Linked DNA regions of Caenorhabditis elegans. The protein of the gene in region 1 purifies or fractionates together with the protein of each later gene. This does not show direct contact. Each region holds a gene or a part of one and is shown on either strand. Other genes may lie near its edges.

Region 1 (7,401 bases):
TTTAAAGAATGAAAAAGAAGATACTCGTGTTTTTTGTTCGAAAACGACTCACGTGGAAAAGGACTCGATACAGCGTGTGGTGTTGTGTGTGTATATGTGTTTTGTTTTGCATTCGACACACCGAAGGACCCAGTTGTCTTATTTTTGCTGTTTCATTGCATTCTGATGATGTTTACTAATATTTTTATAGTGTTTGGTCACTTTCCGTTTTTAGAAACTTTGATTTATTTTTGGAAGTGGCGAGAATGTTTTGAAATGTTGCATTTTTGAGTATGATCTTGTTGTGATATTTTGGAAAAGTTTGGAACATTAGGGGGCTTGATTTTGAAAATTTAAACGTTTATGGAGTTTGAACAAAATTGTTAGGTTTGTAGTTTATTACAGTGAGCTTTGATTTAAATTTTCCCCAATAATTTTTTAAAACGTGCAGAATTACAGTTTTATCAACACAAACAATTTAAACAACAGCTTTTTTATCAGTTAGTTTCTCTTCTTTTTTTTTGATTTTCCGTTTTGTTCGAACAGTTTATCGTTTATAAATTTTAAAATTTGCTTCTCAATTCATTTTAACGTAGGTAGTTTTTTTTTGTAATGTCATAACTTTGTTTTTTGTTGTAGGTTGTACTATGAAATTTGAAAAAGCAAAATTTGTAATTTCTCAGAAAATGAAGAGCAGCAGACATCGATTGAGGCCCGCGATTTGACTACATACACACGTGATGTCAGGCTGCCCCATTACGGTTTAATCTACAAAAAATGCGGAAGTTTTTTGATCAAAAAAATTTGACGTCAGCACGCTCAAAATGATTTGAGAAGTCTGCATCTTAATTCCCGCAATTTTCGGAGATCTGAGTAGATCAAACCGAAATAGGATACTTTGACACCACATGCATGCACAGTTAATTTGTAATTTGCGCATACTGTGTGCACAATGAACTTTTTGTGATTTATAACGGAACACTATGTGCAAATCGCAGAGTTTTGCGGGGCGTGATATGCGCATTGTGCTCCATGTGCAAATTCGTAAATGTACTGTAAAAAATAAAATGCGCAACCTATAACTTTAGGATTCAGTTTCATGTTTTCATCGTACTTTGCTTATTGATTATCGATAACCGATTAAATATTAAAGATCACAGATCAAACTAAATTATAAAATAAAAAAAACAAACTGTTTTCCATATACAACATTTTGTTGATTTTTGCACGTTCTTTTTTAACACAGTATCTGATTTATTTTTCCGTGTTTCTGTGTCTGCAATCAGCGCTCTATCAAAAAAGCGATTTGCAAAACCATTGAACGTTTTTTTGATTCTATCTGTTGGTTTTTCCAATCGACTGTTTTGAGTGAGAACGCAGCCGGCAACACGAGTCTCGGCATCTCGGCAGATGGGAAGAAGAGATAGGTGGTGGACCGTGTTGCAGTTTTCCTTCTCTTTTATTAACGGTTTCTTTGTGCTGCGTTTATCGATTTTTTTTACTTGAATTGGCTTTAAAAACTGCATGGTTTTTACTTGGCATCCCCTCCCCTAGTTTGAATATTACATGGATTTATTAGTGGTAATTTGAGATTTTTTCTTCTGGTTTTCTTTTTCCAATTCTTGTTTATAAACCTATATTTTTGAACTCATTAATTATTTTTAAAATTTAATCTCAACTGTTCTATGTTTTTCACTTTTTCACTTTTCCAATTTGATCCCAGAAATTCGTAACTTTCAGCTGACAAAAAACAAATGGAGAAACTAAAAGAAGGTGGCAGACAAATCACAGCTGGCGGGTCCGCAGGTAAGACCACATGCTTGTGAGGGTTCAATGGGAGAACAACAAATAGTTATTCTTGTCCTTGAATCAAAAAGCAAAGTGACCTCATGACTGGTTGCTCTTTTACTTGAAATTTTTGAAAATTAGAAATGATATGAGCTAGGGTTGTCTTAGGCCGTCCTCTGCACTTTCTGTGGGTTTTATTTGGTGTCGTTTTAACAAGAAACTTTAGCCTCAATTTTGACTCTAGATAGTATTTACCCAAATAATCAATTTTTCTTATTAAAATTAACGTATCAAGTTCGAGAACTTTGGTTTTAAAAAAATTTGGAAGGTGTTGAGGGCGTCCTACCTAACAGATCTAATATGAACAGTTTGAAATAATTTTTAAAAAAATGACCTGTCAAAGTACTTGTGTCATCAAAATTTTACATAGTTCAAGTACACCCAATAAAACCATATAAACGTTCTTTAAGCTTCCCGTAATAAAATCAAAAGTCTACTTTTCGAATAAATCACCCTACTACCATTGTAATTGTTCCAATTCTGTCACCACACCTTTAAGCAGTTTTTCATTGTAAAATCTTCTTGAAAATATCATCTGATCATTAGGTAACCACAAGCTTTTGTAATATAAAAAGTCAAAAATCAAATGATAGCGTCATCAAAAACAAATGTAACAATGAACACGATTTTTGAAAAACATGGGGGTCTTGAAAAAAGTTTGTGAAAAATCAAAAACTCAAACGTAGGAAAAAATGGACTGAGAAAAAAGTTACCTGCAAAAATTGATTTTTGCCCTTGTTTCCATCCGAACACACATCAAGCACAGCTTGTCCGCTAGACATTTATCAATCAAAATAACTAATCTTTGATTGGATACTATAATTTACTAAACCGTTTATTAAAAACAACAAACTACGCAACGAAAAAAAACAAAGTAATCTTCGTTTCAGGTCTCGTGGAAGTATGTCTTATGTACCCATTGGATGTTGTGAAGACGCGACTTCAACTTGGACAACAGGATAAGGGAATGATGGATTGTGTGGTGAAAACGTTGAAAAATGAAGGAATCGGAGGGTTTTACAAGGTTAATTTAAACTTGAAGAAACTAAGATTTCAAGAAATTTCACAGCAAATTCTAGTGTCTGTTTAAAAAAAATTAAAAAAAAAACGTTTTTAAAACCCTAGTTGAAGTGAAATCCTTTTCTGGTTAAGTGATGAAAATAAAAAAAAAACCTTCTTCAACGTTTTATACCAGGTCAGTGTGTCCCATTTGTTTTATCTACGTAGATCTACGAGAATTGCGGGAACTTAGACGCAGACTTCTCAACTGATTTCGCATGGTTAAAAACGTGCTGACGTCACTTTTTTTTCGGAAAAAAATTCCCGCATTTTTTGTAGATCAAACCGTATTGGGACAGCTTGACACCAGGTGTACCAGTAGAGCGCTTATGAGTTCAAAGTTCAAGTTAATCGAGCCGTAATTAAATTCACAAAAAACCAAGGAAGTTTTACAATGCAGTTTATTAAAACTCTATTATTTTTATACCATTCAAATCAGTTTTTTCCAGGGAATCCTGCCACCAATCCTTGCGGAAACACCAAAAAGAGCGACAAAATTCTTCACATTTGAGCAGTATAAAATTGCATTTACTCATTCGGAAATTCCTTTGCCTGTTGTAAGTTGATCTTTTAGCTTTTGAATGAAGAAACAAAGAAAGAAAGTTGTTTGTGCTTTGGTGCATGCTTCTCTCACGTTTAGTATTCGTGAGGTAAATTTTATTTTGGGAAATGTTTTTTTTGGAGTGGAGAAAGAAATAACTTTGTGAAAACTAAGGGGTGTGCATTGAAACTGCTATTTTATAATTCGATTTATGATACAAAAGATACAAAATGTTTTTAAAATGTTTTTTAAAAAATCTAAATCAAGTTTTAGAAATGTTGAAAAAGGAGGTGAAAAAACAAATAGCAAATCAAGAAAAAACTCAAGTCTCCAATAACGGTACTCCACTTTTAAATTTTTTTTTGCTATTTATCTTTAAAGGTGGAGTAGCGCCAGTGGGGATTTTGTCTAAATACACTTATAAAGATCCAAAATGACCAGATATCATAATAAAACACTGCAAAAATTTTAGATTTTTCATAATTTCCGATCAAAGGTTTGGCAAATTGCCAAATTTTTAAAAAATATGTGCTTTTGAGGAAATTCAAAGCAATGTTGCATGTTCCGACTTCTACAATGTTTTAATACGAATAATTAAAACAAAATTACAGTATAAGAAATGTAGAAAACCGATTTGTTTGGACGACTTCCAAAATTATTTTTTATTAGAATGGCAAAAACTGAGTAATTGTCACCTTTTGACAGTAAATAAAAAAAATTTCAAAAATTTTTTGAATAGTTTTATTATGATATTCGGTCATTTCGGCATCATAGGAGTGGTTTTTAACAAATTCCCCACGGGCGCTACTTTATCTTTAATAAGTTAGTGTTGATTGTTTTTTACATTCAGGTAAAAGTGATTTGAACTTTAGATGTTATAAGTTAGAACTTCAGAAAAAAAAAAATAGCTGTATTTATTAATGTTATAAAAAAAATTTTCATGGTTATTATAATATTTTATCATGAGTTCCTCTATGTGCAAAAATAGATTTCGAATTTTAATTCTGTTTACATGCGTGTTTTTATTTTTTTTTTAGGATTTGAACTTAAAGCCAAATTTGTAAACATACGTATTACATAAAAACGCGACAAACTCTATAATCATATTTATCATTTAACTACGCACGCTCTCCCTCGCAAAAATGTTTTCCTTATCAGCTTCCTTATCACTCAATGAGCGAACATTGACCGCGAATTATGACGTTATTGCGTTAAAAATGTCTAATCCTTGTTTTTAAATTCATCTTCCAGACAATGTCATTCGCCGGTCTCTTCTCGGGACTCACCGAGGCCATCGTTATCTGCCCGTTCGAGGTGGTAAAAGTGAGACTGCAAGCGGACAGAAATTCAAGCGTCAAAGAGGTAAACTTTGATTCTCGGGTCTTGTTCGTCGTCTGAGAGCGAGACACAAAACATGCAATGGAAATTATTAATCTTTGGTGTTCCAGCAAAGATCAACGGCGTCGATGGCAAGGGAGATTTATAGGAACGAAGGATTCGGAACCAGTGGACTTTACCGAGGATTGGGGGCCACACTGGGAAGACATGGTGCATGGAATATGGTCTATTTCGGGTTGTATCATAGTTGCAGAGAAGTTATTCCTGATGCCAAGGTAGGGTATGAATCACGGGTGGGCGGCAAAACGGCAATTGCCGTTCGGCAAATTGAATTTGATTTCCGGCAATTTGCCGGTTTGCCGATTTGCCGGAAATTTTTATTTTCGGCAAATTGCCAATTTGCCATTTGCCGAAAATGTTCAGAGGGATTTTTTATAAGACGGAAACTGTGCCTTTTTGAATTTTTCCGTTTTTCCTACATATTTTCATAGAGTTTACTTATTTTCAAAAATAGATGTAGAAATATTCATAAGACGCGTTTAATTTTGCCATTTGAAATTGAAATTCTGAAATTTGCAAAAAAAAATTTCGGCAAATCAGCAATTTGCGGATTTGTTGATTTGCCGGAAATTTCAATTCCGGCAATTTGCCGATTTGCCAAATTGTCGGAAAAAATCGTTTGCCGCCCACCTCTGGTATGAATCGATCAAAATTTTTATATAAATATTACGCATATTTTTTTGAAAAATTCTTTTCAACGTATTTATCAATTGAAAATTAATTTGAAGTGTTCTAAGTTGCTATGTATTAGTTTTGGTTGACATTTCACAGGTAAACGTTTTCATTCAAGCATTTTGCAAATGTAATTTGCATACGTTGGCGCTAAAAATTATTTATTTTTTGGTGGAGCTAATCCAATTATGTGTCTTCTGCAAGAGCACATAACTGTCAATTAAAATTTTTTTTAGAAAACCAAAAAAAACACAAGAAATTTCTTTCAAACTTCTGATTGCTTCCGGTTATTTTCCCCCCAAAGGTTTTTTTCTTCAGCAAAATCCAACATCAAACTTAATTGGAAGAATCGCCTTAGGATTCACCGCCGGATCGCTTGCTTCAATCTTCAACATTCCATTTGACGTAGCAAAGAGCCGGATCCAAGGCCCACAGCCGGACCCATTCACTAGGAAATACAGTGGAACAATGCAAACGATTTCTTTGGTTTACAAGGAGGAAGGGTACGTTTTGTAATGGGGACGAGCGTAGAAATTTTGAAGAAGTTGAGAAAATGTATTGAAAATTTGGAAATCGGCAAAACGGTCCAACTTCATAAAATACTCCTGCAGCTTCTTAGAGACCGTGGAACAGTTTAGCTTTTTTACAAATTCTTGTAGTTTTAAGACGATTTTTGAAATTTCTTCGCAAGAATTTAAGCTAAATTTTGCTCAAAAATGCGTTGATTTCTGCAAGTTCCTAACAGTTTTGACAAAGTTTTATAAATGTTCTTGTCAAGTTGCAGGAGTTTTTTACGAAGTTGCGACGCAAAACCATAGAACTGTTACTCCCTTTTTTGCACGTGGTGTCATAGTGTCTCATTTCGGTTTGATCTACGTAGATCTACAAAAAATTCCGCCAGAACAGACGCAGAGTTCTCAACTGAGTTTGCATGATTAAGAACATGCTGACGTCATTTTTTTGAACAAAAAATTCCAGCATTTTTTGGAGACCAACCTGACACCACGTGTTTTTGCTCACAATGCCACAAGTTTTTTGAGAACATTGTGGAATACGTAGCACTTCAGTAAACTTCTGGGGTTTTTATATAAAACTTTCATATGATAATATCAATCAGTCTTATATGAACTAGTGTTCTAAAATGCCTAAATTCCAGATTCGGTGCTCTGTACAAAGGACTTCTTCCCAAAGTGATGAGACTAGGACCTGGTGGAGCTGTTATGCTGATTGTCTACGACGAAGTTTACTCTTGGCTCCAGAAAAATACCTAAACTTTTAAATCATCTTTTCCGCAAATGTGACTGAACTTTATTCCACATATTTTTGTATCGAGTATCAAAAACTGACAAGTACAATAAAGCGAATTGAGAGGGTAACTGGCTGTTATCGGCAAATCATTGACAAGAGTAAATGGGATAAAGGAAATTGAAAACGTTTCTAATACGAACATGCTAGCAGAATGATGAATTGGATAGGAAAATAATGATAAGGTCGAGAGAATTGAATAGTTTGAATTGAACAACAAAAAATGGGTTGCAGTATCAGGAAGATATGCAAGGGGTACAATTGAAATGATACACCAGGATTATAATAAATTATGAAGAATTTTCGAAAATTTTAAAGCAGAAATACAGGTATATATGTAGATTAAGAATATTGTTTTGCAAGTGCATTGATATAAATAAGAAATTGTGTCATTGAATGAAATTGTAGTTATTATTTGATAAATATTGCTCAATTATTGAGCCAAGCGCTAGAAGGTACCGTCAAACGTTTTGGAAACCAAGTGTTGGATATTAGAGCCCAATTGCTATTTGAAAAGGTAATAAACGAGATAATGAATGCTCAAACTGATGTTAGTAATTTTATGGTGGAAAGAAAATGAATAAAGTTGGAGGGTTAGT
Region 2 (5,511 bases), about 16 Mb from region 1:
CGATACACATCGGCGAGTCGGAGATTGCCGGACATGCCGCAGACTCCACTACGGGAGAGAGTCATGCCTAGGCACAAATTCAACTTCAGAAATGCTGTTGGGAATACAGTATACTGATAAAAACGAATTCAAAACAGTAATCATCTTTTATTTCACACTAAAACCATGTCAACTGATTCCCAGCCGCTTTTTGTAAACAATTTTCAACTTGGACCAATGTATGCATCTCTTAAATACCCACCCACTCATTTAGAGATTATTCCTAAAGTATTCCAATTTGTCATGCAGTTCCTTCAGTTGTAAGAAACATTATCCCGATACTTCTTTTTGTATTATGAATCTCAATCGACCCTTATGAATTTATTTGACAATTAATGCTTTTTCAGCGTTTCCCTTTCCACCCTATTCCTCATTTTATACCTCAATTTGGTCCACCAAACTTTTCCAATCGGAAATCATTCCCCCACTCACAAAATAAATGAGCACAAATCAGCAATATAGTACTATATAAAAATTTATCTCCAATCTGTATTTTGAATCAAATGTTCAAAAAAATAAATTACATCAAAATAAATATTTTTTTTCAATTCTTGTTAATCAGTCAATTGGTGGCTTCAATGTCATGAAAAATTGATCAAATGGGAAAAGTTCCTGATTGTGCACATGAATGGCTAATGTAAATTGTTGATCCAACAATGATGACCAGAGATTTTTTGCTTTAGTGTCCAGGTTTTGCTTGACATCGCTGAAAATAATTTAGAATATTAATTAAAGGAATGAGCGGATGCGTTTTGCAAATCTACGAAAAAATTTGTAATTTTTAAATTTATTCGGAAATTTGCCGGAATTGAAAAGTTTTGGCAAATCGGCAAATCGGCAAACCAGCATGTTGCTGATTTGCCAAATTCGTCGACAAAAAAATTTGCCGTCCACTCCTGGTTATGATATCAATAAAATTTCAAAACCTTTAAATCTTTGACGAGCTTACATAATTTTGGTTGCAGTTTTACGTTTCATTTTTTCAAATGTAAAGTAAGGCTTGGATTTTTGAAAAGCAATGAGTGAGTATCTGGGATGAACTGTGTTGATTAATGCATTCTCCTTCACGTAACTGTATGTTTCAGTTTTTGGATTAAATGTTGCATTTTTCTGAAAACTATACTTTTTCTTCGATTGTTCGAACAGCTCTCACCATGTAATCATATGTGCAAATATCTTTATGACACGTGTCCAATACCTTCAGCGGAGCATCACTGAGCTCATCGGATATTGCTTCAACCGCTTGTGGAGCATGACTGGGTGATGTCACCAAAATTCGTGACTTTATCTGAAAGTTGAGTGGAGTTGCAGTAAATAGCAATTTAAAACTTGTGAAATTATTCTACCCCAAATGCCAATGTACTGAAGGTGTGTCCACGGCTGTCTGAAAGCTTGATGTGTTTTCTGAGCCGTCCATATGCTACAGCAAGTTCTTCAAACGTGTCATTTTTTAGATTCAGTGGGTTACCTGCAACTTTATAGCTGTTGAGAATTGCAGCATTTTCAAACAATTGTTTTCTTTTAACTGAAAGTCAAATTTGCTTTGACGATGTAACTTAAATGTTTTAAAGGCGTCGTAGTGGAATTTTTTTATATTGCTTCATTAGACTCGAAATTGTCTGAAAACACTGAACTTCATGATGAAACTTCTTGAAAACTTCTCAAACAAAAGTTATGGCGGCTCAAAAAATTAGCTAAAATTAGCTAAAATATGAAATTTAACTAACTTGTCAACGTCGCAGCGGCTGGAAACTAATTTTTTTGAATTTACCGTCTAATTTTGTTTCCAGAATTAATATCAGGTAGAATAAAGTTTAGCTTACAAATTAAAACACAAATTACCTTCAGTTTTAAAGTCAAATTTAATTTACTCACTAACAATAAGAACATGTAAATTCATAATTTCATCAATACAAACAAAATTTTTTTAAAAAAGAATCTAAAACCTTTTTCCTTCAACTCGACCAAAAAAATTTAGCTAAAAATTTTTATTGGCATGTTGAACTCACCAGCAATATTTTTTGTTGAAATTGCATGTTTTCTCAACTCGTCTTCAAGTTTTTCGTTTACAAATTGCCCAAATCTAATTGTAAATATCTCAGTAATTTTCTGTACATCTCTTGTTATCAGACTACGCCCGGAAGTTGCCCAATGTCTGTAAAAAAGATATACTCCTTCTATCAAAATCATTGTTCAGCTCACGTGTTTTGTCGCTTTAGTATCACTTGTTTCAACCTGAATCTAGTTCTAGTGAAAGCCATTCCAAAGACGAGATATTGGTCCAGGACTCGGGCACATGAAAATTTCATGATATTCATCCACCCATACATTCCTTTGTCGTACTGAAACAATGACAATTGTGGAGGTGGACCGAGATGATGTCATACTAGAGTCGAAAAATATGTCGAAAATTCCTACTGTTTTTTTTTTTTGAACGGCTTTAATTTGTGATCCAATTTATCACTATCAGATTTGCCGGAAATGTCCTTTATAAAACATAAACTCGTAAAGCTTTGCTTTTTTGAATTTTTTTCCCGTTAAAAAAATGTGCAAAACCAGAAGTTGCCCAATTTTTGGCAATTGCCGTTTTTCCGGCAAATTCGGCAAATTGCCAATGTGCCGACTTGACGGAAAAACTGTTGGCCGCCCATCTCTGACTTGAACGTTTAGGAAGTAATTTTTCCGGTAGGGCTGAGTCATGAGCAATTTGTCTCAATGTTTTGGCATTTTACACTGCTCATAGAGTGATATTATTGCATGTCGCTTAAAAATATCCTTACTCCTTGTTAAAAATAGTTGTTTTCCTAATTTCGTAGTACTTTCTATTATAATTTTATCGTACAAAACAAAAACAATAGAACAACTATTTTTAATAGACTTCAAAATTCATAATTTGTTTTTTTTAATTCTAGGTATTACAAATATTTTTAACTAAATTGCGCATTTGAAAAAAATCACTTTAAAATTTTTTCTGCATGTTGTTTTTTTTTAAGTATTTGCAATTTACTTTTTCTTTCAATTTTACTCCTTCTCCAAAACATACCTTAAAATCATGTTCACTAAACGAGCCAAACTTCAATAGTGCACAATTTGCAAATTCCTCACGGATTTCATTGATAGGCATCCAGGGTTTGTTTTTTAATGTTCCTAACTGATCTTCCATTCGTATTTTCGTATAATTTTCAAGTTGAGATTTATGAAGACTGAAAGTTGAATCTCATTACTAGTCTTACACTCTACACTGAAAATAGTTAAACTATACGGCTTTGTTTGCACAGATTTCAAAAACTTTACGTAATTAAGTCTTTGCTTAAATGTTGCGTGGGCTTGTTAGTTTCAGTGTGAAAAATTTTTTGGACATATTTTTTTGGACCTGCAAAGGACAGTCAAAAATTTTCTCCTCAACAATGTTTGCCAAAACCGCACGATTTTGACCTTCTTTTTAAAAAATGTGAGTATTCTTCAAATTTCTAAATAAAACTGTTGAATATTTTATCAGAACTTACATTCCAACCTTGAAAAAAGTGTCATTACTAGTATCCTGAAAAGGAACATATCGTTCAGCAGAGTGATCGGCTCGTCTTAGAAAAGAAGTATAGTTGAACTCGGATTTCAGAAAACTTGCTGTAAAAAACTCAACTTATCTAATATTTACTTTGCAAAACGTTTTCGTTACTGTAACTTACCGTACATAGCATCTTTGTACACTTTGTCGAAATTTATTTTTTTGGAACATGAAATTTGAAATAAGAAAACTAGGATTAACCGGCAAAATATCATAATACAGAGGGATTAGGAACGGATTTCTCCGATGACGGTGTGGTTTTATACGAATGCCACTGGACAAACACCTTGCCCCGCTCGCACTTTGTTTGAATCTGGTTCCTGAAGCTTGAAATTGCTGTTTTGACACTCTTTGCTCAGTCTTAGGGAATTGAGACAGTGAACCGTATGGAGATAATTATTCGGAATCTTTTGAGGTATCTTAAACAATTATGTTAATCAGTTAAAAATAATTAAACTTCCGAATCTCTGTGAATTTATTTTAATGGTGGAGTAGCGCCAGTGAGGAAGTGTAAAAAACTCTTTCTATAATCTCAAAATGACCAAATATCATAATTAAACTTCTCAAAAAAGTTTTGAAAATATTTTAGTTACGGTCAAAATGTGACAATTACTCAGTTTTTACCCCTCGTAATTTTGGAAGTCGACCAAAAAAATTTTTTTCCTACTTTTTTTATACTGTAATTTTGTTTTTAACGTTTGTCATCAAACATTGTAAGGGTCGGATCATGTGCTATTGCTTTGGATTTCCTCAAAAACTATTTTTTTAAATTTTGGCAATTTGCCAAAACTGTAACCAGAGATTATAAAAATCTGGAATTTTTTTGAGTGTTCTATTATAAAATTCGGTCGTTTTAGATCTTTATAAGTGTATTTAGACAAAATCATCATTACCGCTACTCAATCTTTAAGTGTAAAGTTTTAGTGTCTCCACAGTAACCCAAACGTTTTCATCGGATGAACTCCCCGAAAAACCGTTCAAACCCTGAAAGTAATACTGCTATTTCAAAACTACAAAAGATAAAAATTTCAAAATTTCAATAGATTTAAAAATGTACATAATTGCCTGCATTTTTTGGGCAAAATGTTCGCTTTTCCAGTGTGCCAAATTTTACCGAGTCATTGCTTCTAAAAAAAAACGAAAAACTAACGAAAATTGAAAATTATATCAAGCTTACAATATTTAATTTCAAGAACACTGCCCAGTTTAAACATTTTCGATTGGCGCATACCAGGGATGTGTGGCAACCGAGATTTTCGGCAACCGGCAATTGCCGAAGTTGCCTAACTCTAAAAATTTCGGCAACCGGCAACTTTTCGACCACCGGCAACCTTTTGACATTCCATCTGGAACACGCAATTTTTGAAAATTTGCAAAATTGTTTGCAGAATTGTTAGCAAACTCCCATTTTTCAATACAACTTTTAATGAGCGTTTTCTATTTGTGCCACCTTTCTGTTTACATAAATGATTAGCACAATTACACACACACGTGAAAGTGTATGTTTCCAATTTCTGAATCAAAAATGTGTAGTCTGCAAACGGAAAAAGAACGAGTTGTGCAGCTTTTAAGTGTGGTCACAAGATTTTGTGGTCACATGAATATGTCATCATTCGATCTTTCAAAATTATTGTGATTGACTCTTTTTGCTCATTTTATGAAACTTATTTCATCATGTTATCCTCTTCATATTTGAATTTCGTAAAAAGCATTCCTCATATTTTCGGTTAGTATTGTTTTTGCTGCCGATTGCTTTGGTTAAATTTTAAATATAAAAGTAAGTCAACGGAAGAAAAACCTGCCGTAGTTTGCGTTTTGTTTGAAAGCGCACAAAAAAGAATTTTGATTAATCTTTTTGTTTTGTGAAATTTAGTGTCTAATTTTTTCACTTTGCAATTGCACAAAAC

What was found.
Region 2: the proteins of slc-25A21 (region 1) and F13C5.3 fractionate together in Caenorhabditis elegans (co-fractionation; one large-scale study listed by BioGRID). This does not show direct contact.

The regions. Positions count from the first base shown.
Region 1 is NC_003284.9:16,188,137-16,195,537, forward strand, and holds slc-25A21 (Mitochondrial 2-oxodicarboxylate carrier), read left to right. Parts: upstream 1-1,719; 5' UTR 1,720-1,733; coding exon 1,734-1,785; intron 1,786-2,717; coding exon 2,718-2,851; intron 2,852-3,335; coding exon 3,336-3,443; intron 3,444-4,678; coding exon 4,679-4,789; intron 4,790-4,875; coding exon 4,876-5,040; intron 5,041-5,815; coding exon 5,816-6,000; intron 6,001-6,653; coding exon 6,654-6,768; 3' UTR 6,769-6,871; downstream 6,872-7,401.
Region 2 is NC_003284.9:595,717-601,227, forward strand, and holds F13C5.3 (Peptidase_M13 domain-containing protein), read right to left. Parts: upstream 3,861-5,511; 5' UTR 3,820-3,860; coding exon 3,726-3,819; intron 3,664-3,725; coding exon 3,546-3,663; coding exon of another isoform or gene 3,542-3,545; intron 3,243-3,541; coding exon 3,083-3,242; intron 2,693-3,082; exon of another isoform or gene 2,580-2,692; intron 2,382-2,579; coding exon 2,242-2,381; intron 2,195-2,241; coding exon 2,049-2,194; intron 1,508-2,048; coding exon 1,386-1,507; intron 1,328-1,385; coding exon 1,193-1,327; intron 1,150-1,192; coding exon 989-1,149; intron 746-988; coding exon 598-745; 3' UTR 512-597; downstream 1-511. Other genes in the region: F13C5.2 (Bromo domain-containing protein), read left to right, coding at 1-71.